Mytilus edulis: one gene and its partners. Each later gene encodes a partner of the first gene's protein in a complex. Links are inferred from orthologs where the notes say so. Each region holds a gene or a part of one and is shown in the gene's direction. Other genes may lie near its edges.

Region 1 (10,299 bases):
GTCCCATAAATTTGGCCTTTGTTGGTTTTGCATGATGTCCTGATGCTATGGCAACATTCTTGGCTAGATACACTTCCTGTGAGTCTGGTTTGACTGTAATACCATCCTTTTCTACTTCTTGTACAATAACCTTCCAATCTTCTCCTAGGTTTAAAAGATACAAATGTATCAATAAAAAATATAATACATTTTTTAATGATAATTACCTATAAATGACTTATAAATTGTAGTACATGTACATATATTATCTGATTATAGCGTAAGTTAACATCAGCTTCAACCCATTTCAAAGAGCTAAATATGAGTGGATTTCAAAACTTCACTGATAGTTTCATTATCTAATATTTTACAAACTGGTTTTTTTCTCGTTCTTGAAGTTATATTTTAGTTTTAATTAAAGTTGATTGATTGCTTGTTGGTGTCAACTGCCACTTTTAGAACTGTTGGCTAACAGTACTTGTTGTGGTTAGTTTTTATTGGTGGAGAAAACCAGACTTCAGAGAACCAACAACCTTCCAAAGATATTTTTTTAATAACTGTTTTCAATTACAGTATTTTGTTCTCAGATTTTAGATCTATATCTAGATTTCTTCATATGGCTACTTTGTTGTAACTAAATGAAACTTTGCCAATGTCTTTAAAAGGGACTACGATATAAAAAAAATCTAAATGCTTAAAGACACTGACTGCAAATAATTCTGCTTTGCACATTACTTCAGCTGGTATCCGCTCTTTGGTTGGGTTGTTGTCTCTTTGACATATTACCCATTTTCATACTCAATTTTACTTAAGATAAATTGTCTTATATTGTTATAACCCATTGCAAGTTTTTTCATGTTTTTTACTTATGCATCAATGTTTATTGTTTATATGGCTATTTTTATCTCTTTCAAGTACATGTCATAATGTAGATGTGACATGTATGCAATAACGAATAAAAGAATACAAGTAAATTTTACAATTGTGAGGCTACTAGGGTCAATTACAATACATACATTTTAATTTGAAAATGTAACATGTAAACCACACAGACACATAAAATTATAGGTCTGTATAAGTATACATCTCTTTAGTTTGTACATAAATTATCATGTTGCACTAGATTACATCAGAATAACAGTTAAGTATGTTAAAACTGGTATTTCTACATGTAAAAGCATATTTAATTAAAGGGTACCTTGACCAAAAAAATTATATTGCCACATGATGCAAATATTATTTAAAGAGGCAATGTGGTATGATTTTAAATGAGAAAGCTATTAGTTAAACCAAAGGAGATATGGATTCAGACAATGAGCAATGTCTATATTGTATTACAGTAAGCTTTAAAAAGTACAAGGTAGATAATGGTCATTGAAAATACAACTATGTACACAGGCTTAGCAGTGGCAGATCTAGAAATTTTCAAAAGGGGGCACACTGACTGCCTAAGAGGGGGCCTGCTCCAGTCATGCTTCAGTGATTCCTTGTATAATCAACCAATTTTTCCTCAACAAAAAATGGGGTTTGGGCACCCTGGGTTCCCCCTCTAAATCCATCACTGCTTAGCCACCAAAATCAACTGGACACTATTTTCACACAAAAAGCCTACTGCTGACTATGCGGTATGGGCTTTGCTCATTGTTGAAGGCCGTACGGTGACCTATAGTTGTTAATGTCTGTGTCATTTTGGTCTTTTGTGGATAGTTGTCTCATTGGCAATCATACTACATCTTCTTTTTTATATTAAATTTCATTTGGTTAAATTGTAAAATTTTGTTTATTAAATTTTTGAAATTGGAATTGTATGCGACTGTTATACAAGTGAGAGGTAAGGCTAGCTTTAAAACCAGACTTAATACACATACTAAATAAGAAAATGCCTATAACAAGTCAGGAATATGAAAGTTGTTATCAATTTGTTGGATGTATATTCGTTTGATGTATTTGAGCTTTTGATTCGCCATTTGATAAGGAACTTCCTTTTCAAATTTTCTTCAGAGATCTGTACTTTTGCGATTTAACTTTTTGTTTTGTAGTAAACCATAATTATGCATGTTAAATGTTTTAATATTATTAGAAACAAGGAATTATTTGAAACATGTTGAATTTCTTGTTTAGAAAACATATCCATGTCCATGTCAGAACTAAAGTTCTTTCAAATAAACAATATAACAATGTTACCATGGTTACAGACCTTGTCTTTCAATGCTGACCACTTTTCTGCACAATTTGATGATTTCATTCAGCTTAAAGTGGTTGGTATAACTTTTAATATATTTGGCCATATCAACATTGTGTGGGTAATCTGGAACATCGTCAGGAAACGGAAAGTCTGAGAAACAGTAGTTGTACTTTGATACATTTCTAAAATTTATTTTATACATTTATATATAATATTCATACATATATGTGTCAAAGATTACAGAAAGTCTACCTCAACTAGATCATGCATAAAATGTTGGTTAAGCTGACCCAAATTGTAATACAACGTATATATACCAAATTAGTATTCATTAAGTGTTTTAAAAATTAATTATGACTGACCACAAAACTTAATATGTATTCTCAGAAGTCTCCAGTATTAAATGCATATTTCTACAATATTTCATATCATAAACGAAACAATTACTAATATAGATTAACAATATATACAAATGATATAATAATTCAGCAATACAGATCAAGTAATAAATAACAAAAACTCAAATGATGTTTTCAATTCAAAATCTCGCTACATGTATCTTAGCAGTTAGCCTGAGGCTTAGAAAAATTATTTTACTGATTAGTGATAGTATATGAGGGTTTGGATGGGGTTAAATGATTAAAGAATAATGCCCTTAAAAAATGAAGATTAGAGAAAAAAGGGGTGAAAATTTAATGTTTACAGAATATGTAACCATGTAACCTCAAGTTTTCAGAAATATTCTATTAAAAAAAACTCTAGGTCCACACATATACCATACATATATTTATCAAATTCGATTAATTATATGTTGTCAAGAAAAAACATTGATTTTCGGATCTTTATATATTCCGCCTTCTTTTTCCAGACAAAGACTTCAGAAAGTTATATAATTCTTAATTCAGATATAAATTCAATTAAATTCGTATATGTCTGAAAATTTCAGCTTAGAAAAGGGTATGCATATATATCATGTATATATTTGGTTTTTTTTTAATAGAATATTTCTGAAAACTTGAGGTTACATGGTTACTAAATCTTGCACACAGGTAAAAAAAAAAAGAGGTGAAAATTTGATTGGTTTATTTCCTATATGCAATGAAATTTAATGTAAAATTTTGTCTGTAGTACGGTACTAGATGGGATATAGCTTTACTAATGCCAAGTATTTGAAACAAAGATAAATTCTGCATAATTTTTTTTAAAAGTGCAAATTTAACAAAGACAAAAAGGGGAAAATCAATGGTGTTTATATTACACCTATATGTCCTACAATTGATGTCTTTCGTTACATGTACACACTTATATAAAAATATTTTTATTTTCTGCTCATTATTAAAGGGCTTATTACAAAAATATCAATCAAGTTACAAGTAGTAAAATAGAATGAACCATATCAAAATATTGTATTGTTTGATGATTAGGGGAGGGTTGAGTCACTCCATGAGATATACAAAGAGGGATAACTCTAGGTCCACACAGATACCATACATATATTTATCAAATTCAATTAATTATATGTTGTCAAGAAAAAACATTGATTTTCGGATCTTTATATATTCCGCATTCTTTTTCCAGACAAAGACTTCAGAAAGTTATATAATTCTTAATTCAGATATAAATTCAATTTAATATATCATCTTTTAATGTTGATTCTTTCAAGTTGAGATAATTATAAACAAGAATGTGTCCATAGTACACGGATGCCCCACTCCCACTTTCTATGTTCAGTGGACCGTGAAATTGGGGTCAAAACTTTAATTTGGAATTAAAATTAGAAAGATCATATTATAGGGAACATGTGTACTAAGTTTCAAGTTGATTGGACTTCAGCTTCATCAAAAACTACCTCGACCAAAAACTTTAACCGGACGGACGAACGGAGGCACAGACCAGAAAACATAATGCCCCTCTACTATCGTAGGTGGGGCATAAAAATATATGTTATTAAGATATATGCATCTCTAATTTTTATATTAAAGAAAGCTTGTCAATACCTGAGACTACTATGTTATAGAAGTCTCAGTCAATACTTAATATCTTTAAAAAAAACTTTGACCTTAACATTTTTAAGGCAGCTACATATTCTTATCTTGAAGAGGTACATTTATAATTTTAAAAAAATTGCTCTTCACTATATATTAAAGTATTAGCTGTTTCTTTATAAAAGTCTCTCTGACAAGACTTTTAATTTGAAGATTATGATTACTAATTACTCTAAATCTACACAAATTAAATCCTTGTTGATATAAACAAATCCTTCAAATTTAAATTTGAAATAGAACTGTGTTTTGAATTTGCTATGCTCATAAATCACCACAAATGCAGGTATTTGTCTCAGATTTTTTTTCTATATATATATACCTTAAATAATACAACACAATTTTTCATTTGCAAATTTCCACTTACGCTGAATCAAAATGTCTTCAACTTTGCAAGTCATTCATCTTTATTTTTCTATGGATCAGGATCAACTTCATACCTTTTGAATTTCTTTGGGGTTCTATATTTTTGTGGTTTAAACTTTTACTTTTTTATTTTGTTTGAATTCAAATTAATTTTTGAGTTATTTCCTTGGACAATGAAAGGCTTTAAAGCACCTCATAATCATTTGGACTACCTTTGTAAGGAGACAGATCACATAAATGAGGGGAGGTCATAAATAAGGGTAGAAATGGGGGTACTGTCATGACCAATAACAGGGGGAAAAAATTGCCCAATGACGTTGACGATAATTTTTGGTGCATGACGATAAAAAAATGATTTTGACCAAGGATTTGTACAAATCCAAATCCGTTTTGACAAATCATGTTAATTTATTTCCAAAAATAACGGTAAAGATAATTATTTGAGATCTCTGACAAATCATGGTAAAATATTAACAAAACGATGCTAACGGTAGCGGAAAATGATCGTTTGACGATAAAGGGCATTACTATCCTCAAAAATATACACAAGTTTGCTTTAAAATTTTACAAGGATTTGTGAGGTGAAGCAAGATACAAATTTGATTTGGTATTAATCTTTTATAAAATAATGTTGTCAGTAGCTTTAAAACTTACATGTGTGTGAATCTCATAACACCATAGTCATTTTCTCTGAATGTCCATAACCCTCCTATGTCACCAGATCTTTCAAACACAACCACACTCAAACCAGCTTCTCTCAGACATTTTGCAGTGACAAGTCCAGAAATTCCTGCACCAATAACTATAACATCGGGACGATGGACTTGATCTTGGGAGGACATGTTTTAAATGACATGTCAAGTTATTTCAGGGTAAGATAACGTAAAAAATGGTTCAAAGTTCATTTTAGCTCTTTTAACCATGTGGGTTTGTTTACATTTTTATCTTCCGGCTCTGCGCACCTGACCCGTGACGTCACTTCCTTCTTGAGTTCGATAGCTATCTTGTTCATCACTGGTAAGCATTTCAATTTTCCTGTTCAAAAGGAAGCTTAATAAGCATCAGACTTAAAGTATTTGTTCTAGTATAGTCGTAATATATCGTATTCCTTCAATAATTGAACAAAAACTTTCAAAATATATCAGTGAACTGAAATGTCACAATGGATGAACATTCTTAGAATGCCATAAATTTGACATAATTTCATTTTTACCATGTTTTCTTATTTGCCAACCCATTAGTTTGCTGAATGCACTTTGCAACTCTTTGAGTAATCTTTTATTCTTTTAATAATTATGCTATATACATGCATGATACGTCGAATGGTTTGCAGACTTTAGCCATTTATTCAATGAACTAACATGACTAAGGTTAATCCCTTTTCTGAATCCCAAGCAATTTCAGACTTGGCTGCCCACAGAAAATTGCGCCATACTCACTTGTAGGTCATTTCACCTCTGCACAGGGTCAAACACCACCAAAGTCTTTAAAATGCCACCTAACACCTTGAGCACATTAGTTATATTCTTTTGAATGAGGATGAAGAACATGATCATGATGATGAAGATTATTTTTACACATATTAAAAAAAAAGAAGAAGAAGAAATAATTTATAACTGGAGAATGAACATAAACAGTCTTCTGGTTTTAAACTTTCAGAATAACAATGTTATTGTTGTTCATGTTGTGAAAATATGGCAGGTAATTAAAACACCATTTCACTTCAAACATTGTCAAAAAGAGGGGGGGGGTATTTTTTTTTTATCCTAAAAAAAAATATTCTGATCCCCATTTTAGGCCTGATGAAGACAAATATTGTAAGCAGAAGACGAAAATTTTTAAATGAATGAAATGGTAGCTTCCTCATTATGATTATTTCACATGAAATAAAATGTTTTTACTTTTACTTTCAAAATTATTTTTTTTTATGCTTAAGTATAAGGAAGTGTACATGTGGAAGTGAGCAGTTACAAAATGTACATGTACATGTATAGGCAAATTTTTTTTTTCCACGAAGGGGGCATTCAGTTTTAGCTTGTCCGTCCTTATGTCTGAATGTGACATTGTCCAAAAATTTGTTTCCGTTCACTAACATTAGTTTGCCTTCAAACAAATGTTATGAAATTAAACTTATACATAATACTTCTTCCTAAAAAAATCTGATCAAGTTTGAGTTTTTGTGACATCACTTTTACTTTTCAGAATTATGTCCCTTTACAAATTGAAAATGCTGATTTTTTTGTTTTTATTCTCTCAAGTTTAGTTTGCCTCAAACAATTGTTGCAATAACTTTACAAACTGTTTATTTCAACAAAACACAGATATACATTTGTAATTGATTGATTGATTGTTGGTTGCTTAAAGTCCAGTAGCAAATATTTCATGCATGTTCAGGGCGAGAAAAATTTAACAAAAAATACAATAGGTAGGTCCTGTTTACATTTTTACGTTGTGTTTCCGTTGTGTCGTTTGTTTTCTTCTATATTTGAGTGTGAATTCACATTACTATAAGACGTTTCACGGTACTTTTCTATCCCAAATTCATGTATTTGGTTTTGATGTTATATTGATTATTCTCCTTGGATTTTGTCTAATGCTTAGTCTGTTGCTATGTGTGTTACATTTGAATGTTGTGTCATTCTCCTCTTATATTTAATGCGTTTCCCTCAGTTTTAGTTTGTTTTCCCGATTTTGTTTTTTGTCCATAGATTTACGATTTTTGAACAACGGTATACTACTGTTGCCTTTATTTAATGTTATATTAGAGGTGAATTACAAAATTTTCAAACTGCAATACTATCAAAGGTAATAAAAATAATAGAGATGGACCGTTTCAGACACATACTATTAAGGGGAAAATTCATTCAATTTCAAAACATTATCATTCATTGTTTTAGTGCATTTAATAGAAAAAAAGAATTTTGTGGCAAATAAAACCAAGATTTTTGTAAAAGATCCACAAACTTTAATACAGAGATATTTGATACATTTCTTAAGATACCTTTATAATAAGTTGAGGTGATTGATTGATTATTTGGTGTTTAATGCCACTTATATAATTAGCACTGTTCAGTATTGTGTTTTTTAGTGTTGGTTGATTTTAAGTGGTGAAGGAAGCAGGAGCTCCTAATGAGAAAAACTAATATTCCTAGTCAATTAAGATTGTAGTTAAGCTGCCACTTGGGGGAATCAAACTTCCAACCTCTATATTAACAGGCTAGTGACACAGTATACATAGACAGTACATTATGATTACTTAGAATTACTAGGCCAGCGAAACCCCTTATTTTAGATGAAAAATACAACTTATGTTATAATAATGACTTTTTTGTCCTTGGATAATAGTTGTCCATGTAGTCTGATTTAACTTAAAATGTAAGATTTAATTGGTTGATTTCAGAGTCATAAAACATGCTACATGTTTTTACATTCAATAGGCCACACCTTAGCTATAGTTCATTGCAAATGTTTCCCTCCTGTTATGGAGAAATTAACATTTCAATAAAAAGTCATCCCTAATCCTTGTTTTCACAGGCATTCATCTATAGCATAGCTATCTCTCATGGTTGATTGTAAATTCCCATGATTTTTTTTCTTAAATCATAGAAGTATTTTATTTTGATGAAACCTTAAATCCTGCTGTTAGCATGGTTAGTCTTTTGGCATGTAAGCAGAACTCTTGTTTTGTTGGAGGGAATTGAAAAGAGTACCAACAAAACCAACTTAACCAAGGTGATGGTACTGTGATATGCATGCTCATCATAATTAGGGGTGTGTAATTGGTTCAACAACTTTTATTCAGGTCTAAGAGTTTTGAATGAGTTGCAACTTTTTGGAGTATAAGGAAAGATGATTTTGCTCATGTATAAATGTATCTGAATGGGATGACAGGTATTTTAAGGGAACATTTTAATATCTTGGGTCGTACATGTTACTTTTGTATACATACATCCTACTGTCATGTAGCAAAACACTTATCTTGCTCAGCATGTTGTTTTAGTACAAAGCAAAATATATTCACCTCACACATTACATGTATTTCGATCCTGAATATTGATGAATAGTTCCAACTTGATGTCAAGCAGCCAACAAATTTTCATTACCATAGACAATGATAGAACGAAAACAACTTCTATAAGATATCTTTCAGGGACATTTGTTTAGATACTTATACCATGTATACATATTTTTAGTTTTACTCAACAAATGTCATTTACCTATATAGCTAACATACATAATTCCTCTCGTAAAACCCTTGAATCTCTTTCATAAATCCTTCACCCAGACTCCCAGAGTACCATTAACAGATACACTGTATGTACAAAATGTATGGCTCTTGGTGCAAATGTGCAGTGGTTTAAATGCTGCATGTTTGCTTCCTGTATCATGACCATGATTTATCAGAGGTTGCCAACAACATGCTTGCTTAAACTTCATTTTTATGCCCCCCTCCGTTGCGGAGAAGGTATTAAGTTTTACCCTTGACTTTAAGTATGAACGTAAGTCTCAAAGTTGGTTTCCGTTCTCTAACTTTATTGTACTTATAAATAAATGGTGAGAGAGGGTCAAACAAATACAAAATGTACATACACATACTTAATATTGGCCTCATTGTATCCCCATAAAATTTGATCAATGTTTAGTTCTTGTAATAATCATAAGCAGCAATAAAATAAAGCTCTCTATTAGGTAGTTTTAAAGACTTTTTTTAATTGTTATTCCAGACTATTCATCTTTTTTATAAACATTTTGACTAGTTGTCACTTGTGTACTGTAGACCATTTGTTTTCACCTACTGTTGGTGATCTACGTGTAAAATTTAGTTACAACTGTATCTCTTGATTTTTTAATTGTTTTAGAGTTATTTAACCTTATTTTTTATAATAATGGCATATCATAGCTAATTAAGAAGCACTTCATTTTCTTCAAGAAATATGCAAATGTTCTAGATCTGCCTTATAGAAATCTAGAAAAAAAAAAATGATTCTATTTATTAACCAAGTAAGTATAGTTACACAAAAAACGCAAGCTCTTAAATTTGTACATTTATATAAGTGCATCATATCATCAATCATAGAAGACTCTAGTAAAGTGCATCATTATATACGCATTTGTAACTTTGTACTATTGTCATGATTGTACATACATGAAACATAATACTATTATTTATTGCAGGCTTAAGTGGAAAAATAGGATCGTAAATCCTTATAATGCCCCTGTTTGGGAAGTCACAGAAGAGTCCCCAGGATGTGGTTAAGTCCCTAAAGGAGGCTCTCCTTGCTGTTTCCAAGGGAAGTACAGGGGAAAAGAAAGCTGATAAGGTATGAAGTAATTTGAGCATGTAGTGAAGTCTTTTAAGATGAATTGAATGTCAAACCTTTAGCTTATCACTTGTAACGGACAAGGAAGTATTGTATTTCAAGTTTTTTGTTTTTTTGTTACTTTTAAACATGTTAAATAATTTAAAAGTATTTGGTGAGATCAAATTATTGAGAATTTTTTTTTTAACTTTTTTTCAACTGAATAGGCAATGATAGGTGTTCTGCAGAAGCTGCCATTTTGCATTCTTTACATATTTTTTTTCAACATGTTAAAAGTATGAAAATTTCCTTACTATACTGGGTATATTTCACCCTAACATTTTGTGTTATCAACATCAACATACATGTTTACTTGTGTAGGTTTTGGTACAAATACATTGAATCAAATACTGTACGTGCTGTATTA
Region 2 (10,450 bases), on another chromosome or scaffold:
ATTATATCTGTTTGTGTTTTACTGTCCATTTTACATGTTATATCATGTATCAGGCCTATAAGTTGTGTCTCGCACGATTTCTTACTTCTAAAGCCAGGTTGGAACTCGGATAGTATTTTATTAGTTTCTAAATGTTTCATGACGTTGGATACTACGATATGCTTCATAAGCTTGCAAAGGATGCAGGTTTAGTGAGACAGGTTTGTTGTCTTCAGTAAAAACTGATTGGAACTGATGGTTTAGCGTGTTGGCTTCAATGTCAACTGTGTCATTTGATGTTTGTCCTTCATGTTTCAATGGTGGCACTCCAGCTATCTCTTTACTCATGCATTTTAAAAACGAGATTTTTTTTTTTTTGGGGGGGGGGTAGTTTATAATCCGGTGCTATATGATGTTTAATTGTTGTCTGTGGTATGTGCTCAGTCTTGTTAGTAAGTTTATGTATCATCTTTAAATTCCTCCCATATTTTGTTTATATCTGTACTATACATTGAAGACCTGTTGGTGACCCTCTGCTGTTGTTTTTTATTTGGTCGGGTTGTTGTCTCTTTGACACATTCCCCATTTCCATTCTCAATTTTATTGCAGTTTATGATAACATCGTTTCCAAGATTATTTGCTTCTGCTTTCATGGTCCCAAAGTCTGCTTTCTTATATTGGTAAACTTTTCTTGGTGTCTGATTTTCTTTGATTGGTGTTGTTACTGCTTCGGCATAAACAATATTATCGTGTTCTCCCTGGACAGACTTCAGTATGTAAGCCGAAAGAGGTATGGTAAAAAAACCAGACTGAGATTTCTCTCCATTGATTTGCACAACTGTAGATCACTGTAGCTACAAACTGAGACTACCATGAGTTATAGTAGTCTCAGCGGCTACAAAATAAGATTTGACTATTTAATATTAAGGATTTGTCAACTGTGTATCTATGTGGCACTTGTGACAATCTAGTTACATGGGACGATAGAGGAATAGTTTGTGACACATGCAATCAGTGGTACCATGTGTCATGCCAGTCGATGAACACTAAATCGTATAATGAATATGCAAATGACAGTGGACTTGCATGGGATTGTATCACATGTGGATGTCCAAACTATTCAACACAGATGCTATTCATTAATACTTAGCACATCAAACAATTACAGCGTATTGTCTGACACCTCTCTTACCAGTCCAACGTCTTCAATAAATATGAGACCCTTACATGCTTCCACACCGGATAAAAACAAGAACAGAAAACCATCAAAGAAATCTGAAACACCACTAAGATTACTAAATGTTAACTTCCAATCAATCAAAAGTAAACAAGGACAAGTACTTAATCTCATAGAAAGCACAAACCCAGATATTATCTTTGGAACCGAAACATGGGTAGACAATAAGATCACTGGCAGTCAAATATTCCCTCCTGGATATAACATCTTCCGGAAAGACAGAAACTGTAGTGGAGGGGGCGTACTAGTTGCTATTAAAGATAAATATATAACAACAGCCGTACCTGAACTACAAACTGACTGTGAAATTGTCTTGTGCAAACTTTAACTCATTGGACACAAAGCCATATACTTAAGCTCATATTACAACCCCAAAACATCAAACGAGAATGGGTACTTAGGACTTGAGAAGAGCCTAACCAGAGCGAACAATATAAAAAAATGCTTTAATCATCATGGCTGGTGATTTTAACCTACCAGGCTGGGACTGGAAAACCAAATCACTGAAGCCCAATACACAGAATACCAACATACACCATAAGTTCACTGACATCCTGGACGATCATGGCTTACAACAAATGGTAGAGGAACCAACAAGAGAATCATACACACTAGATCTCATAATCACGAACTACCCAAACTGCTACAATAGAGTCGAAACCATATATATCGGGCATATCAGATCATGACATCGTCTTTGCAGAGTTGAACACCATACCATAAAAAAAAACCTCAAAAGCCAAGGAAAATATCCTTATATAAAAAAGCTAAGCGGGAAAACATCAAAGAAGATCTCAAATTAATAAATACAGATGTTACCAAGATGAACCATCAAGAATGTAGTACACAAGAAATGTGGGACTATGTTCAAGGTAAACTTGAAAATACTATAAATGCCAACATATCACAAAAACAGCTAGAACAAAAGACGGTAACCCTTGGATTACGACAGACATCAAACGCTCATAAAGAAAAGAGAAAAAACATTACAATAAATAAAAAGAAACAAGAATCGCTCAAGTTGATTTTTTTGGCATTTATCTTTCGTTAAAGGGTTTGAGTGTCCAATTTCATTGAATTTTGTTTTTAAAAAAAATTGTGTAAAATTGTCGTTAAAGGGCAATAACTCGTTAAGTGGTGAATTGACAATTTTGGTCATATGAACTTATTTGTAGATCTTACTTTGCTGATCATATTTGCTGTTTACAGTTTATCTTTATCATTAATACTATTAAAGATAATAACCAAAAACTGCAAAATTTCCTTAAAATTACCATTTTAGTGGCAGCAACCCAGCAATGGGTTATTAGATTCATCTGAAAATTTCAGGACTGATAGAACTATCTTATGAATACTTTTACCACGTGTCAGATTTTCTCTAACTGCCTTGGTTTTTAAAATATACGTCAAAAAATGCATTTTATCCCTATCTTCTATTTTTAGACATGGTGGCCATGTTTTTTTGACGAAACAGAAAATAAAACAAAAACTTTATTCTAGACATCCTAAGGATCATTCAGCTCAAGTTTGGTTGGAATTGGTTCAGTGGTTTCAGAAAAGAAGATTTTTTAAAGTTAGAAAACATGATAAACAAATTGTGTAAAATTGTCCTTAAAGGGCAATAACTCTTTAAGTGGTCAATTGACAATGTTGGTCCTATAAACCTATTTGTAAATCTTACTTTGCTGAACATATTTGCTGTTTAAAGTTTATCTTTATCATTAACACTATTCAAGATAACCAAAAACTGCAAAATGGCCTTAAAATTACCAATTTTACTGGCAGCAACCCAACAATTTAGATCCATCTGAAAATTTCAGGGCTGATAGAACATTACCTTAAGAACACTTTCACCCCAAGTCAGATTTTCTCTAACTGCTTTGTTTTGTTTTTTTTAGATATAAGCCAAAAACTGCATTTTACCCCTATGTTCTATTTTTAGCTATGGCGGCCATGTTTTTTTGACGAAACAGAAAATAAAACACAAACTTTATTCTAGATACCCTTAGAATTATTCAGTGTAAGTTTGGTTGGAATTGGTTGAGTAGTTTTAGAGGAGAAGATGTTTGAAATAGTTTACACCAGATGGACGATGACGGACGACGACGGACGCCAAGTGATGGCTAAAGCTCACCGTTTCGAAAAAAAAATCAGCTGATGCTAAGCATACCATCAAAATATAAAGAACTAAAAAGACTGGTAGTAGATATTTCCAATATGCTGGTATTATTTCTCTCTGTACGGTACAGAGAGAAATAAGACGAGCATATTGGAAATATATAGAGAATATAATAACACCTGATCCCAAAGAAGACAAACCAAACTGCATGAAACGTTTCTGGACATTCATCAAGCACAAAAGATCAGACGGAAACCTTATACTACCATTAAGGAACAATGGACTACTCCATCCTGAGTCAGTTGAAAAGGCTAACATACTAAATAAACAGTTCCAATCAGTTTTTCTCTGACAAAAAAAACAACTTTACAGAAACCGAATTCAAAAACCGTTGTGACATGACCAACAACAACTACCCTGGACTTCAAAAAAGACCTGAACATAACAGAAAATGGAATAGCAAAACTATTGTCCAACCTAAACCCATTTAAAGCTGCGGGTCCAGACACCATTACATCAAGGGTGCAGAGGGAATTAGCCATAGACATTGCACCAATCCTTACCACCATCTTCAGACGATCATATGAAACAGGCGATTTACCGGACATATGGAAAAAGGCTAACGTAATCCCAATATTCAAGAAGGGAAAACGGTTTGATGCAGTAGTCTCGCTTACCTGCATTTGTTGCGAAATCATGGAGTACATTGTAACAAGCCACATAATGACCCATGCTGACAAACACAACAGAGGTACAACATACTGTATCCACTCCAACACGGATTCAGGAGAGGCCTGTCCTGCGAAACACAACTGATTGAGTTTATTAACGATATCACCATAAACATGGAAAACAAACAGACTGCCTTATTATGGATTTTTCTAAGGCCTTTGATAAAGTAGGTCATAGCCGACTTACACACAAACTGGATCATTATGGCATAGGAGGGAAAACCAACAGGTGGATCACAAACTTCCTGGCCAACAGAAAACAAGTCGTAGTTGTAGAAGGGGAAAAATCTGATACAATCAACGTCGATTCAGGCGTCACACAAGGATCAGTTCTTGGACCCAGTTTGTTCCTTTTCTATATAAATGACATGCCAGAGGGAATCCGATCAAGGGTAAGACTCTTTGCTGATGATACAATCATATATCTCCAATACCATCAGACACAGACAGCGACCACCTTCAGGAAGATCTAAATAAGCTGGCAATTTGGGAAAACAAATGGCAAATGGCATTTCATCCAGATAAATGTAATGTTCTTATCATAACAAGAAAATGCAAGTCTATTATAAAAGAATATGTACTGCATGGCCACATTCTCGAATCTCTTAACTCCGAGTCTGCAAAGTAATTTGGTTGCACCATCAGCTCCGATTTAAAATGGAATGAACACATCAAAAACATATGTGTTACGGCAAACAAGACCATAGGCTTCCTCAAACGTAACTTGAACATCAATAACAACACAATAAAAGAAAATGCATACAAATCACTTGTAAGACCGACTCTAGAATATGCATGTACAGTCTGGGATCCCTATCAACTAAACAACAAAAAAAGCGACTGGAAATGGTACAGAGGAGAGCAGCCACATATGCACTAATAGATATCATAACACATCATGATTTGTTAGTGACATGCATAACCAACTGGAGAGTAACCCCTCGATGACCGTAGGAGGACATCAAGGCTCACAATGATGTAAACTTGCCAACGGGATGGTGAAATTTGACACCACTTATACTCTCATTCCACCAGATAGGCTATCCAGAAATATCAACACTAATGGATACCAAGTACCATCTTGTAGGACCCAAGTGTGGAAGGAATATTTTTACCCAAGGACGATTCGAGACTGACTGGAATGCACTACCACATACTGCCATCAGTGCAGATAGTCTTGAATGCTTCAAGACTTACCTACATGAGATGAACTAGATCAACTTCAAGATGTTTTTAAATTCACTGTATATATATGATGACGGTACAGTATGGTGCCGATTTGAAGAATGACCATAAAAAAATTAAGGCTCATTTGACGGTAACGGTCGCGAAAATGCGTGTTTGTCTTCGTAGACAAAAGATATATTTACACTTAAAAATAATATGGACACTTTTAGTTTTGATACCAAAAAGTATCAACAAAAAGTAACACATTTCAAATGTTATATTTCCCGCTATATTAACTTTTCTTTTGCTGATTCCGGAACACGAAACGACGTTTTTAAACCAGTCGCCTCGTTTTGATAACTGTCAAATATGGAGTCGACCAACTTCCTCCAGCCACTTTGACATGAATGTGATGTTAGGTTTCCAAAATTTAAGAAATAGTCCACACCAGTTATGGCAGAGAATGTTGTGGTGCCAACAGATATATTTCTTGCACCCAACGAATATGGCCATTCTACCCTAGAACATGTTGATCAACTTGATTTCCTTAACGATAGTGATGGAGGTCTTCCCTTTTTTCACAGAGTTGAATCTAGCGAAGTCGTTTATCAGCCTCGTCGGAAAAAGGCAAAGATGGTTGGAAAGTATCTTGTTGGCGATCTGTTAGGAGAGGGTTCATATGGAAAAGTTAAAGAAGTTATAGACACTGTCACACTATGCAGAAGGGCTGTTAAAATTTTAAAGAAGAGGAAACTGAGAAAAATTCCTAATGGAGAACAAAACGTTTTAAGGTTGTTATTTCCGAAGATCACATTTGAAAATGTAAAAACCAAAATGTTTGCTCATGCCACAACATGTGATGTCAAGCATATTTAAGGCAATGTCTTTGATTATGTTGAAAACATAAATAAAACAAAAATATATGGCAGTGTCTGCACTAGTCCAAATAATTATGACGTCTTGAAAGGCTATTATAATTTTTTTCTTTGACACCTTACATCGACGTCATAATGCTGAAGCCGCCATTTTCGGTTGGACTTTGAGAGCATATTTTGCTCTCAACTTTGAGACCCAATTTAGCCACAAAATTTTCATTGGAGGCTAAAACAAAATGCATAAACAAAAATTCTTACCTTTTATGTGTTTGTTTGTGCAAAATATTTCCAATTAATCCCTACAGAAATAATAATATAAGGAACAATTCCATCCGAGGCGGGAACATGTCGACTGCATTTTTTAAAACGTTTGTCTGATTTCCTTTAAGAAGATTATAAAATAATTTTTACACCAAACTCGGTAAAACCCGAATTTCCGGAACCATTGTTTTACATTATCCGGAAATTCAGGTCGGTGAAAATGTACCGAGTTTGGTTAAAAAATATATTTTATACACCTAAAATGAAGCATCTTTAGGAGAAATCAGCTAAACGTTTTAATAAAGCAGTAAATTCCTTCTCAAAGTCCAACTGAATATATGAGTTTGGCGTTATGACGTCGATGTAAGGCGTCAAAGAAAAAAATTATAATAGCCTTTCAAGACGTCATAATTATTTGGACTATGTCTGCACATACCTTCATGCAGGTATGAATAGTCAAATTACCATTCGTAGGCTATGCGTACCCACCGGTTTTATAATAAAAATGCTGTGGGATTGTAAATGAAAGGTGAAATATAAACGGAAATTATCAATAGTATGGGGATTTCATGTAGACCTCAATCCTCAATCTTAAGGCCTGTTGGCACGAATTGTCTCAATGTGCGGTTTTCCTCAACGTATTTTCTTTTCTGTGCTTTAAATTGGTACATGTATGCGCTGGTTAAGATTGGGATTGTGGGACAGTAGTATTAAATCTGCCCGTTCTGTCAATGTAATGTGCCACTGTTTGTAGTTTGGCTTTTGTCTCTTCTGTGTTCTCGCCGTCCAGTCTCGTTAGCTAAATTCAAGTTTCTGACCCCGACCTCTTTGGATATTTGGTGTAACATATCTTCTCGTTCGTTTTCATAGCAGGGACATTCCAGAAGAAAATGTTGAGGCGTTTCATGTGCTCCACAGTTGCAGGACTCTATGGCGTTGGTTTGGCCTACTCGGTTTTGTAGTAATTGAGTTCTGTATAGCCAGTTCTTAGTTGGGCGAATATACTGTAGAACAAGTGAAGAATATGAAAAATAATATTTTCAAATTGTATTTTTAAGATAATAATATGTAATGAACCTTGCAAATTAAATGCTCATGCACTATGATGCACTGATGGAAAATGAAACTTTACAGTCCCAGTAAAAGAAAAACATGATAAAAATTAATACTATCATAAAATGTAAATGCAAATTACTGAATTTGAAAAATACCCATATGAGATTTAAAAATAATCTTTAAGTAAAATGTTAAACAGAAAAGGAAATTTTAAAATATCTTAAACTACTAAAATTAAAGCTTGGGTGTGTATATAAAAATTTAAAAAGCAATTAATATTGTCAAATTAAACCAACTTTGTTCCAGCTTTAGTCAAGCCAAGTTTAAAGTGGAAATACATTCCATTTGGAAAGTACTGAAAGTAGACATATATATCCTTTATATCATGAATGGTTTAGAATAGAAAAACAAGAAGTATTTGACATAAAAAAAAACTTGACCATAGAATGAAACACTGCAAATTCAATTTAAACTATAAATTTTAATCGAATACCGATTGTATTAGGCCTTTTTCCTGTCAAATTTTTCCTGCAGCTGCAATTGACTCTGAGTTTCTTTTATACAATTGTATAAAATTAGCTATAGTTGACTGAAAGTTTTGAACAAATTGTTCCAATTCATGATAACTTGAAATGTCTTCCCCACATGTATATCACTCTTCCATTTTAAGAATATTTATTAACTGAGAAAAACTGTCTATAAAACTTCGGAGTAGTTTAAATCAATTTATTCACTAATTGCAACAAATTCCGTATATATTTCACATTCCATTCTCAATCTGATGCCATTTTATTATAAAACCGGATGCGGGTATGCGTAGCATACAAACTATTATTTGACTATTCGTACCCACATACGGGTACATGCAAACACTGCCAAAAAATATTGTTCTGTTGGACACTAAATGGCAGAATGCTAGGCTGGGTTAGAAACTGAGTAATTACAAACATTAGGCCAAATAAAAATATATGTGTGGTTCCAGTTACATACTTTTAAAAAATAGGGTTGGTAGGTCGGCAATTTTTTTATTTGTTTTTGAATTTTATTTTTTTTGAATGTCAAAATCCGGAAACAAATCGTGTGTTTACCGAAATTGTTTCCGGTATTATACATGCCCCAACCTGAAGTCCGCCATTTTTACATGTGTTTGGTTGTAAAATAAACAGTCATGATACGTTTTAAGTTAATTTTGTTGCATTCTGTTATGAATTGTTGCATTTTACCCATAACAGATACTTGTGATGGAAATTCAGATTACAGAATTCTATGAATTTAATTATTTTAATTCACAATCCTCAAAATTTTAACCTTTGAAAATTTATTTTTCAGAAATAAAAAAAAAAGTTCTAAGGTCGGGGGGTTTTAATTAGGGTCTGTCGGGTTACTGGAACCACACATATATTTTTATTTGGCCTTACAAAAATATTTTGTGTCTACATTTAAGTCAATGCATTTCAATGTAGCTGGGAATAGTAAAAAGTCTTAAAAGTTAAAATATAGCTTGAAAATTTGTATTTGTAACACTACAATAGCCAAACACTTAAATATTTCATTTGGAAAGTGCTAAAAAGACTAAAAACACAATGCTTTGGATCAGTACAACAGGTTTAAAGAATTTGTTCACAATTTTATAGTTCAATGATGCAGACACATTATAGACTAGTATTTATCAAACTAGAAATATTGTCTTACGTCTATTTGCAAGCTCACTAGAGCTCGTGTTTATGTAGTTTATTGAATATTGACTCTAAAAAAACTTTAAATTGAATAGAAAAGATATCTCCAGCATTTTCCAGCAAATGTTGGAATGTCAAAGTTTATTTTAAGTTCCTACTTGACAAGATTTGTAAACACAAGACACAACCACTATACAACTCCACACTGTCAGAAGAGACATCAAATGCTGCCATTGGTCAAGAATGATGTATTTCGAATAAGCATGACTTTTATCTTCCAGCAGATGATGTAGCATTGTAATAACAAATGTTGTCTTAATCTGCCCGGGGTTGATAGGAGGGTACTAGATCATAACTTGGTTACAGAAGATAACATTGAACATACTGAGATGGTTGTTTCTTAATTGGTTCATGCATTTTTTTTACAGGGAAATTCAGCTTTTAAAGAGGCTTCACCATAAACATGTAGTTTTCTTGGATGATGTCATCTTTAATGATGAAAAGCAAAAGATGTATCCTTTATAATCATATCAAAGAAAGTCAGATGGGTGTTTGGTAAACTTACATGCAATAAAAAAATGAAATGCAGGGTCAAAGGAAATCAAAATGATAGCTTAAAATTAAATTAAATAAATTTTTCGTTTATACCGAGGAGATATTCAGATACATGTTTACATATATTTGGCCCATTTCTTTTTTGTCTTTTTGAGTTTGCGCAAGAAATTTCAATTTTATGACAATGCATATCATGCATATATGTTGTAAATTTGTACTTGATAAAGGTTATTTTGAATCTTGAATCTGTCTTTTACTGTCTTTGATTATGACTATAATACAGAAGGAAAAAATGTTTCTTAAAAAATGTCAAAAATTATGACGAAAGTTCTCACAGATTTATTAATAGATATTATTGCAAAAAAAATAATTGATTTGTGGGATGTAAGACAACCAGAAATCATTTAATATCAGATTTATGAGGAAGGCATTACAACACGGCTAATTATTAAACAAGTAAACATATCTAATTACAAGAACAAACTAGGAGAGTCATTATTGGAGCCAAGGGGTAAATGTAGAAAGTGATTTCCTTGGCAGTTAGTTGTCTTTTTGTACTCTGTATCATCAACTCATAAACCAACTATATATTTGAGTGTAAGTTTTTGAGACTTATTATTTGTTGTCCTGGTATTTCTCAACTCTGATTTTACTTTTTGTTTCATAAATCTGATTTTTTTTCAAAACAAGTAGGCAATTTTTATCGACAGCCACCTTATAAACCACTGATTGGGTAGTACCAGATTCACACCTGAGTCTAATAAATGAAGCACCATGGTGATATTTTTACCATT
Region 3 (11,167 bases), on another chromosome or scaffold:
TGCTCACTGCTAATAAAAATGAAACCAATTTATACTGCATTTTGTAGTTTTTATTTTTGTATATTTACGCATCTGTACAATGGTAATTTATTTATAAGAAGGTATAATATTTAACTTTTTTTATTTTTCTGTTACTGCAGTAACTGTTATGTATTATGTAATGCAGTTGATTAGGTGAATGAAAACTACAAAAAAAAAACTATAAGCGTCGTCTACCTAACACTTAATTGAGATGATTACAAAGAGAGTTGAAAGAAACCAAAGAGTCATTAAAATTCATAAGTAGAAAATAAACTGATAACGACATGTCTAAAAAAGATGAAAAAGATAAACTGACAAACAACAGTGTACAAAACACTACATAGAAAGTTACAGACTGAGCTACGCGAACCAAACCATAAACTGATGTGATCTTAAGTGCCCCGGAAGGGTAAGCAAATTCTACTCCACCTGTAACTTTGTTGCAGTCACCGTGTTTGTTCATATAAATATAAAACCGGCAATAAGTCTAATTAAGTAGGTCACAATGGGAAAAGGGAACGGAATGGGACGTACATCTAGAAATTAACAATGAGGGTCGGTTGGAAACAAAGCTTTACGACAAATAGATGATTTCAGCATTCCAATTGTGAACTTTCAAATTCTATGAAGCAACATTTAAGCAGCGCCGGCATACGGAGTATATAAATCCCAATTGATACGATATTCCCGGGCTTTAATTCCTATCATTATTTCTTTGATAGAGGGTTGATGCTCATGAAGAAGCTATTAAACCTTGAGAGTTCCAAATGGTGAAGTTGAAATCATCCCTTTGTAAATTTTAGGGATGCCCTCACGAGTTAGTTGACCGTACTGGAATAACCGTTTCACCGATGATATCAGATATGTTCCTTATGTCGTAACTACAATCTACTTCCCTTTTCCCCACGAATGTAACCTACCGAAAAAGACTATTTACCGGGTTTGTAATAACATGAGCAGCACGCGGAGCATGATCTTCTTATCCTTCCGGATCACCCCAATATTTGGTGGGGTTCGTATTGCTTAGTCTTTAGTTTTCTGTGTTGTGTCTTGTGCACTTTTATTTGTCTTTTATCGTTTTATTTTTAGCCATGGCGTTGTCAGTTTATTTTCTATCTGCAAGTTTGACTGACCCTCTGGTATCTTTCGCCCCATCTTTTAGTTACGACATAAAGTCACATTAAGAACATATAAGTCATGAAAAAACATTTGGAAACCATGGTTAAACAGCTTCCTTGTATGAAAAAATACTCTATCAAGGACATCATGATAGAAAATACAAGGCCTGGAATACCGTATATACTCTGTAAGCAGGCACTGTTGGAATTTTGCAAAATAGAAATGGAAAGTTCCCAATAGGAAAATGCATATCTTTTGTCGTAAAGTTTTGTTTTTAACCCACCCTATAATAGTCAATTTCTAGATCTAAGTCAGTTTGAGAGTTGCCCCATTGGCACTTATACCACATCTTCTTAGATCAGTATATGAGGCAGACTGAGCTGTACCTATTATATCCTTTATCTCAATTTTGATGGATGCGTTGAACGTAGTCAAAAAATTTTGAATTATTAAGTGAGAGAAAATCACTGATCTAGCTAGCGGAAAATAAAGTTAAAGGCGACTGCTAACTTCTTTTTTTCTTATCTTTTTTTTGTTCTTTTTTAATAGATATCCTACAAGAGATGCAAGTGACAAATATATAAGATATGTTAGTTTCATCCTTCTTAAAAATAATCTAGAAACATTATCGTCAAATCATTAAAGACGCTCTGTCATCCAATAGTAAAAATGGGTGTAAACGGGGGAAATGTGATACAAAATCTCTTGATTCTTATACAAATAATGTGTGAATACTCTTGATGCTAGATGTGTACTGATTGATATTGAAGTCTTAGATACAGATTCTGTTATAAGTTGCTATTTGTTTAATTTCAATTGAACTAAATTTCAGCAACTGCGAGTGGTCTAAGATCTGTTCTTGTTGTATTTTGTTGTATTCAGTTTGTTGTCTTTTGTGGATTTAAAAAAAAAATATGTTTTTGTATCGATCTGAAGGGTAGCTTTTAAACTGATTTCTTTAGGTTGTTCTTATATTTTATTAAATAAATGCCCCAGGTAAGTGGAGAGTAAGAGAAAACGTCTAACTCTGCCATCTTCTGTAATAGTGGTTTCCCATGTCAGGAGCCTGTAATTCGGTGCTTATCGTATGCTACTGTGTATCATATTTGTTCTCTGTTCATTGTTTTGTACATGACTCAGGCCGTTAGTTTTCTCCTTTCTGGTATCTTCCGCCGTTTTCTTTTTTTTTATTAACGTTCAAATTTTATTGATTTAAAGTAAGTTCCTTAGGATGAATTTCATACAACGATTTAGTAAATTATCTATTATTATGTAACGAAAAAAATATCAGCAAGGTTATAAGTTACGAATTAAGAATTTTGACCCCGTTGGCTTTCCATAGGTTATGGTTAGTGTGGTTGAATTAAACAATTTTAAAAATGCAATTGAGACAGGTCTTTACTGAGTTTGGTCATAGACTGAGATTCTTTTAAGTACAAAATAAAGTTTGCTATATAGGGAGCCAATTTGTGCCCATTTTAATACCTTCATCTTGTCGATAAACCTTATTAACAAAACGTACAAAAATGTTTAAGAACATTTACAGCTTTAAGCATTACACACCCATTAAGAATATAGAAGATATCAATCTTTCTCATTAGACAAGGAGGCTTTACATGAGTTGCAGCCAATACTTTTGATGAAAGATTTTTCAAACGACCATATCTTTAAATAGGAAAACGTATGTTTAATAAGATTGTGTGGGGGTGTAATGTAAAGAGTTTATAGGTCAACCATATATGTAATACCTATCTTATTCTATGGGTCAACAGTGTCAACCGATTTAAAAGGACCACCAAAAACATCCAAAGATTTTGCTACACTCCAAAAATAATTAATTCCATTATATAAATTCTTTGCTAGTAGATTTAATGAACTAGTTTAATAAAAGCACTGAAAGGTTAATTGTAGAACACTTCCTAGAAACCGAAATCGAACGATAGCTGTAGCTTAGGTCACCAATACATAGTAAGGATTTGAAGCTGAGATGCTCATTATTCTATATTCTGAAAAACTCACCAAGATCCTCAACAAGCCCATGGCCGTTATATAACGTTGGAGATAAGCAGATGGTAATGAATTTTAAATCCTTACCGAATGTTTTCTCTTCGTCTTCTTCTTCATCTTCAGATTGCATACTTCCTCCAGATTTATGTCCCAAAGATGACCGAAACTGTCCATGGCTATAGGATTCATCTTGACGTTGCTTTTTCTTCTTTGGTTCATTGATATATGTCTCCTTTGAATTTCTTTTGCTTCTTTTTCCCTCCATTTAAAACGGTTTTAAAACGGTTTACAATAATAACCTACAAACAGAAATGCCAATTCAAATTTATAAGTGTCCATGGATTATTTGTTAGATTTAATTGTATCTAAAATATATTCACACTATGTCAACAGTGTCCTCTATGAAAAGTAAAATAACAAAACTGAATACCGAACTCTGAGGAAAATTCTAAATGAAAAGTCTCTTACCAAACGGCAAATTCGAAAGCTCAAACACATCAGATGAATAGATCACAACTGTAATATTTCAGGCTGACTTGGTGCAGACATTTTTCTTGTGTAGAAAATGGTAGATTAAAGCTGGTTCTATAGCTAGCAAAACCTCTGAATTGTATGATTAAATGTCCTTTCGAGTTCTCGGTAAACTGTGGCTTCAATTTTGCAACATTACATGACAACAGAACATGTTGTTTGTAGTGAAGTTTTCAATACAGTAATTGTGCATGAAAAGTAATGATACAATTTAAAAGTTTTTAAGGGCATTATCTGAAAGTCCGCCCTCGTTCGAAGATTTTTTTTTGAAATTGAGAAGACAGTGGTTAATAACCCAAAATATGAATTAAATTCCTCTTCAAAAGTATTCATCTTTCATATCAAACATGTAGCTGATGAACTATGGTCTGCAAATCGTAAAAAAAAATCATTAGACCAAAGAACGTACCGATTCCGCAGCTATCAAACATGCAGATTCCCAATATTACTGTATACTTTTAGATTTACATAATCGGTTGTAACCGTCTGTAATCGTACAGTGACTTCACGTTCATTTCAGTCCATTATTCGGTGACTTCTTGTAGAAGTCGAATGTGAATGTTCTGGAACAGTCGAATGTGAATGTTTTGGAACATAACGCGACAAATGACCAAAAATTTATCTCTGGACACGTGCAACTAAACTATGTATACATTATACTTCAAACTTTGAAGAATATTTAATGAAAACGTCTCTATATATATATAATACAATTATATGTGTACAAGTAATAATTTCTATGATGGCATTGTACCAGTAATTACTTTCATAATGCTAGCATACAAGTTATTTCTTGTTTTAAATAATAACATGTACTCTCTATATATATATTATAATTCGTCTAAATAACAGGCCAGAAATGTTAGATCTGTAAATTTGTGTTAGCAAATTTTCAATCGTTCTTCCCGTCTGCCCGGGATTCGAAATCATGCTACTGAGATATCGTGACACCAAATCGCGCTACTATGCCCGACGCGCAAGACCACTCGACCACCCAGGCTCTACAAAAGTAAAGATTTCAGTGGCAGGGTGAGTCCGAGTGTTACCTTTCGTCGTCAGTTTTAATCTAGCGTCCGCGTAACACATTACATGATATATATAGGCATGAAGATTGAAATGTTACATCAAAATCAATACGTTTAAAGACTCATAAGTGTATGGCAATCAGTAATGTATGCAAAATGCATTTAAAACATATTATCTTGTTGTCAAGTGGTGTTGAAAATGAAAGTCTTAGTACAACAGGAACGAGAAGCATCCTTTACACATTTACCAGTGGCGGATCCAGAAATTTTTATAAGTGGGGGCCCACTACTGACCTAAGAGGGGGCCCGCTCCAGTCACCCTTCAGTGATTCCCTATATAAGCAACCAAATTTTTTCCCAAAAAGGGGGGGGGGGGGCCGGGCCCCCTGCCCCCCTCTAAATCCGCCTCTGTTTACAGTCAAATGGACTTGCGTAAGACAGAAAACTTTCATTGGAGCCGATAATTCTATATCGTAGTTGCCCTGGCGAACAAGAAACATATTACCACATCAGTAAAATGATCTTACCTCACTGTCAGTGGAAACGCCGCCATTATTTCCGTCGACTCGTACTATTGTGCATAAATTCGTTAACTGCCTCAGAGTTAACTGCACTTACTTCCTTACTTGTAGTGCGTAATTTCTAACTACAAATGTATATATATACTTTTTACAGATATCTATCCTATATATATTTCATTTTCGCTTTCGTTTTTAATTTTCCGAAAAAACATTGGAGTTTTACATGTTGTAATTATTTGTAGTTTTTTTAATTTGAGACTCGGACACTTTAATATCAATCGATAGTAATGTTTAAATGACAAGGACAAAGCCGTCATATGCCGAATGAGGTCTACCGTACGTGCAAATAATATTAAAGAAGTATAAATATTGTACTTTCACTTTCAATTTCAATTTTCCAAAAGAACAAGATTTCACAGAATTTTCTAAAACGTATTATCATATACAGTTGTTTATATTTTGTATTTGACCTTTCACGCAATGTCCCTGTATAAAAATGTGGATCCAGGATTTAGAAAAATGAGGGAGGTGAGGACTAGAGGAACTGAATTGATTTTTACAAATTAACAATTGAAACGTTGCTTGTTATCCTTTCATTAGAAGTTGTCAGTGGTGCCATATCTGCGTGACCTAAAAGCGGTAAAATGGAAAAGTGAAGGGTGTTTTTAGTCACGCTATATACGTCTCTGGCTAATGTGAGTTAAACAAAAAAGATATGCAGCATATTTAGAACACGGCCATATACCACAGAAATGGTCAATATTATTAATCATCCATGTAATTTGCTATATATGGGATTATTGAACGAAAAGATATAAGACTGGTTGGGTTTAATCTCCATAATTAGTGATCCTAATATTTTGGCTCTTTTTTGGTGTTTTTATTTTTCTGCTGGATCTGTCACAAGCTTTTTCCGGCAAATTATTTGTAACTGATCAGACATCATTAATTTAGCGGAGAACACGGATTAAAATTGAATATTTTTATATTATATGTGCACAGGCACTTGTATTCGAAAAAAAGAAGCCTACTATACCTTATATTTAGGTAAATATAAAAAATAATTCTGTGACAAGTGCCTGTGTAGCCCTACATATATGTGCCGCATATTTATTTGATGGGTCAAAAATTGAAAACAGCACGTTTAATAATTTCTATGCGTCCGAAGCGCTCTTCAGGATTTACCTTCATCAGTCAATTTAATAATACTAGTCAGTTTGATCCATATGTTATATAGGATCTGACTAAATGATAGACTGACGGCACCTTCTATTCAGTTTAGATTTTCTGAAGATTCTGAGAAATGCTTATTCTGACATAAATCACTATTTACATGTTACTATTATTGTTGGTGTTACCAATTATGTAAATCAAAGTTATCTGATTTTATGCCCTTTATTGGGCCCTGTAATTTGGGAAATAAAAATATTCTATTCTATTCTATTCTATTCTATATCGTTCTTGATACCGTATATATTGACATAACTTTTCCGTATTTGTCTCTGCTATTATTTATCCGAAACCGGAAGTGTTATTTTGCAGTCGACAAAGTTTGGAAAGACTATTCTAGCGCTATTTAGACTTCTGTATCGAAGGCATGATCTTTTTTGTTCTTTAAACATAAAGAAGATGTTTCTTTTTAGCTGATTTGAAACTGTAGGACAGTCAAGCTATGACTGTCACATCTGTGCATCATGTTGATCAACTACACCATTTACACCAGGTCAGGAATAACCACCAATTGGTGGATTATACCTCAATTGACGTATAATCCACCAATTGACATATAATGATATAGACCAATTGGTGTATAATTCTTTGTTTTTCAAAACAAATTATTCCACCAAAATGGAGCATTGTTTTCTTAAAACCATATTATGGTATGAAAACTTGTCAAACATTTCTAGTTTAGTATAGTGACATAACATACAGTACAGCCTGTGACATCCTATCCTCTTAGTTATGTCCACCCTCTTGCATGGTCAACATCCAATGGTGAACATTTATTGGGGTATTCAATCTTCAGATGTTGGCCATTTATTGGGGGGTCATAAAACATAGATAGATTTTTTATCTCAGTATGTTACCTGTTAAAATCAATCAGGGTTGAAGTTTTCAGCTGGTATGTTTCATTAAAATTTACCTGTACAGGAAACTCAGGTTTCTTTTAAAATTGACATTTCACCTTTTTTTGAAAATGTAGAATAAAATATTGTTTTAGTCTGTTTAATTTATTATTTGTTTTTTTTTTGTTTTAATGTTATTTAAAATTTTTATTTTTGTTTTTTTTTCATTTTTGTATGGGTTTTTTCATTACTTTTTTGTTTCTTATTCTTTTAATTTCTTCTTGGTAAGAATCTCGAGTAGAAATGGCAAAAAGTCAAAGATAAAGTTATTGACTAGCATTTGAAATAAACACTTTTAATAATTGTTTTTTTAAGTAAAAGGTTTATATAAATGTACATGATGTACATTGTATTCAATTGTTTGTTAGCATTATTAAATGAGTTATTACTATTAATAATAACTAATAATCATGCAAATGATATTTAAAAAACAAATAAAGTATTAAACAAGTCGGTTTCTTAACAAAATAAGATGATCAATATCAACCCTTTTACAATAAATTTTGATAACATCTAATATTATTCAGGAAAACTACAAGTTTCATTATATGGTTTAGGAAAAAAACTAATTTTGTTTATCTAAATTTTTTTCAAATCTCAAAACAAGAGTTGTGCACAAACAATCACTGAAAAGACTTATTTTTCAAATGCCCACCTAGTCCTGTGACTTTTTTTCCTGTGACTTTTTTTCCGTTTACCGAAAATGCTAATCATAATGAAAAATGTTCTTATCTCTGAATAAAGTGAATCTTATGCAAAGAAATTATTTTAAGAAATTGAAATTTATTAAATATGTTATTTTCAGTTTGGTTAATTTCTTTCAAAATTTGTCTCCAGAAAAAATAATGTGCACTTCTAAAAATGGTGACACTTTTATGGTCTATTAATTAAATCATATTTTTTTTTCAGTGTATTATATTGTTGAAAGTGCTGGACTAGCATGATACATATTCTTGGTATACATTTGCAAAGAATATTTCACTCAACCTAGGCCTTTTAGATATTTGTTAATAATTGCAGGGACTTGAATGAATTAAGACTTTTAAATTAGACCGTTGGTTTTCCCGTTTGAATGGTTTTACACTAGTAATTTTGGGGCCCTTTATAGCTTGTTGTTCGGTGTGAGCTAAGGCTCCTTGTTGAAGGCCGTACTTTAACCTATAATGGTTTACTTTTTAAATTGTTATCTGTATGGAGAGTTGTCTCATTGGCACTCACACCACATCTTCCTATATCTACTTAATAAAAAATGAATTTAAAAAAAATCTAAGAATAAAAACTTATGATAAAAACTGTAAACTTAATTGTGTCAATAGGTAGAATTTTTGGTCATAATTTAGAAATAGAAAATAATGGACTATATAAAATACCTAGAAATGATAGAATATGTAAACTGTGTCTCTTGTAGGTCAACGAAAACACCTATTCCTTGATTGTAAAATTAGCAAAACAACTTTGAGATAATCTATATGAAAATTATTTACCTTCTCATAATAATGTCTCTTACCCAAAAACAAAAAGTAAAAGAAATGCTTAACCTCTAAAACATGGATCATGTTTAAAATATCATATGACAATAAAGATATTATCAAATTTTGCTGTAATGAATATTTCTAATATTTATATGTTATTTAATTGAGAAATAATTAACTGCCTAAATTTTATTTAGCGTAAGTCCTAAAGACAATCTTTAACATATATATGTTAAACAATGTTGAATGCAGATCAGTCTATTTACAATTAATAAACAATTTTGATGTAAGAAAATTAATTTGAGAAACACCTTTTCATTAGAAAAGGCAGGCATTGTAAATGTGTGCAATTATATTTGAAAATGATACTTAATATAAAAAATAACTTAAATTGATTAAAAATTATTTAAAAAGTATAATATTAAAACTAATAGTCATGAGACAATTATTTTTTTGAGCTGTTTTTTCACCTAGTTTTATTATTTCATTTTATTTTCGAATTTCTTGTCATAAACACAGTTATTAAATTTGACAAACACATACATGTATATATTACCTGAGACACATGACCTGTAAGTTATATAATTTTAACACTTCAATGCATTCAAGATTTCCCTTTATCCTTGACTAGTTTTTGATTAATACCTTGTGTATTAAAAAAGCAACAGGGACATATAGGGCCACCATGGTGAACATATTTTTTATGGCCACCATTAATAAGATAAAGTCACAGGTAGTACTGTATTGCATTTAATCAATAATTGTATTTGAAGTTTCTTCTATTGTTATCTTGTCAATTCTTGATTGGCAAATTTACCTGTAATCACCTGTCAATGGACATCATTAATGTCTGCTGTCATGTGATCATGAGTACAACTCCACAGGTGAATGGAGCTCTTTGTTAATACTTGACTTTCATTATTAAAAGTCAATCATGGTCAATAGTACAAATGTTTCAACAAAAGAATTGTTGTACACATGCATTCTCAAGAAATGCAGCAGGCTTTGACAAAACTGAAACTTTCGGCGGACTCAATAAGGGTCATGAAATAGGTTGCAAGTTGCAAAATCATGCTATCTCACACTAGCATTTAATTACAAAAAACTTGCATTATACATCAATTGGTCTATACCAATATACCTCAATTGGTGGATTATACGTCAATTGAGGTATAATCCACCAATAAGTGGTTATTCCTGACCTGTACACATGCTAGTACAGGTTTATCTGTATTTATGCATGTAAATGGCATAGGCACAAGTTTGTTTCTATGAATTTTGTCTATGGAAAGGTGGACTCTCCATATACCAGGGGTGTAGCTAGGTATTCAGTCAACTGTAGGCATCAATCGGCAGTGGGTCTGGGGGCCGCTCTAGGCTTCCATAAGGTCCAGGACAGAGTCCTCGGTTCACGGTTTTCAGTGTTTTAGCTGCAAAATTTTATGTACAAAAATATTTAATTTACTGGTTATTTAATCAAGAAAATTATAATATACATGATGAAAAGTTCAAAGAATTATAAATAATTTACATTAACATGATAAACTGTCATCTGACTGGTGAATTAAATATAAACGCAATAAAACACAGTACAATCGGAAATATATAAAAAAAATATTTACAATATCATTATGCATTGCCCAGCGTAGATCAGCGTATCCCTTTTATTAAGCAGTATACCCTGTTTGGTATTTTCATACCTCTGATATATACGTTTAACTTAATTAATAGTACATATTGACGATCCTTCATTAAAAAAAAATAGGCACGTTATGTAAACACTGATAATAAAACTGTCCTTTTGGCTAGACATCAACCATCAATCTTTTGATTCTTAACCCTTCACCCAAGCCACACAAAGTTGAAACACATACACCATTGTACACATGTAGTCGATGTCTAATGCAAAAGTTCTGTTCCGTTCATACTATCGTAACAAAATTCAAGAAATTCATATGTCTTTATATCCTCTACTGTAAAATCCCTACCTGCTTAGGAATTTGAATAATTGTGGTCATTACATGCAGATCTGAGAGTACACAAAATTACTGGAAGCTAGTTGATCGATTGATTTTCATAAATATTAATGCAAGTTCAGGACAATTTTTTTTTACAATAAATACAACAGGGAGCTAGGTCCTGTAATAGGTGTCTTACAGGACGAAGGTCTGGAAATTTGAAAATGCCATGTATTGGAAAACGATGGGTTATTGGATAGAAGCAGAAATTTTGCCTTTCAGTGGACCAACTACGAACTCCTCAAAGAGTGACATTCTCTCTACAGCTAGGCATCGGATTTATTGTCCCCATTCTGACCAGATGCGACTGTGTATGTGACTGTATTT

Evidence for each region.
Region 2: the proteins of protein Mo25-like (region 1) and serine/threonine-protein kinase stk11-like are in contact, whole or in part, in a crystal structure (PDB 2WTK), measured with the Homo sapiens proteins. The link is inferred for Mytilus edulis from reciprocal best matches to the Homo sapiens genes CAB39 and STK11. Residues at the interface, in NP_001124321.1 of Homo sapiens: Gln109, Gly111, Thr112, Lys196, Leu197, Leu238, Asp239, Arg240, His241, Phe243, Met246, Ile250, Val280, Ala283, Asn284, Pro285, Glu317, Gln318; in NP_000446.1 of Homo sapiens: Gln100, Arg103, Arg104, Glu165, His168, Ser169, Gly171, Leu201, His202, Pro203, Phe204, Ala205, Ala206, Asp207, Asp208, Phe234, Arg301, Ser307, Arg310, Lys311, Lys312.
Region 3: the proteins of protein Mo25-like (region 1) and STE20-related kinase adapter protein alpha-like are in contact, whole or in part, in a crystal structure (PDB 3GNI), measured with the Homo sapiens proteins. The link is inferred for Mytilus edulis from reciprocal best matches to the Homo sapiens genes CAB39 and STRADA. Residues at the interface, in NP_001124321.1 of Homo sapiens: Leu26, Glu27, Lys28, Gln29, Tyr55, Gly56, Thr57, Asn58, Ala85, Asp86, Gln88, Leu89, Phe92, Glu93, Lys96, Arg107, Glu138, Leu141, Ile145, Ser176, Thr177, Phe178, Asp179, Ser182, Asp183, Glu221, Asn222, Tyr223, Val224, Arg227; in NP_001003787.1 of Homo sapiens: Pro64, Leu104, Glu105, Cys107, Ser108, Asn109, Val112, Gln116, Leu119, His120, Lys123, Leu124, Phe125, Asn126, Thr136, Phe137, Ile138, Asp140, Asn141, Leu143, Tyr185, Met189, His223, Gly224, Arg226, Val426, Asp427, Asp428, Trp429, Glu430.

The regions. Positions count from the first base shown.
Region 1 is NC_092346.1:47,964,448-47,974,746, reverse strand, and holds the start of protein Mo25-like, read left to right. Parts: upstream 1-5,533; 5' UTR 5,534-5,589; intron 5,590-5,590; exon of another isoform or gene 5,591-5,644; intron 5,645-9,747; 5' UTR 9,748-9,782; coding exon 9,783-9,893; intron 9,894-10,299. Other genes in the region: flavin-containing monooxygenase 5-like, read right to left, coding at 1-144, 2,177-2,346, 5,227-5,414. UniProt on the Homo sapiens protein: Component of a complex that binds and activates STK11/LKB1. In the complex, required to stabilize the interaction between CAB39/MO25 (CAB39/MO25alpha or CAB39L/MO25beta) and STK11/LKB1.
Region 2 is NC_092344.1:117,604,748-117,615,197, reverse strand, and holds the start of serine/threonine-protein kinase stk11-like, read left to right. Parts: upstream 1-5,568; 5' UTR 5,569-5,686; coding exon 5,687-6,024; intron 6,025-9,529; coding exon 9,530-9,613; intron 9,614-10,450. UniProt on the Homo sapiens protein: Tumor suppressor serine/threonine-protein kinase that controls the activity of AMP-activated protein kinase (AMPK) family members, thereby playing a role in various processes such as cell metabolism, cell polarity, apoptosis and DNA damage response.
Region 3 is NC_092345.1:36,193,511-36,204,677, reverse strand, and holds the start of STE20-related kinase adapter protein alpha-like, read left to right. Parts: upstream 1-6,742; 5' UTR 6,743-6,819; intron 6,820-11,167. Other genes in the region: sacsin-like, read right to left, coding at 3,235-3,412. UniProt on the Homo sapiens protein: Pseudokinase which, in complex with CAB39/MO25 (CAB39/MO25alpha or CAB39L/MO25beta), binds to and activates STK11/LKB1.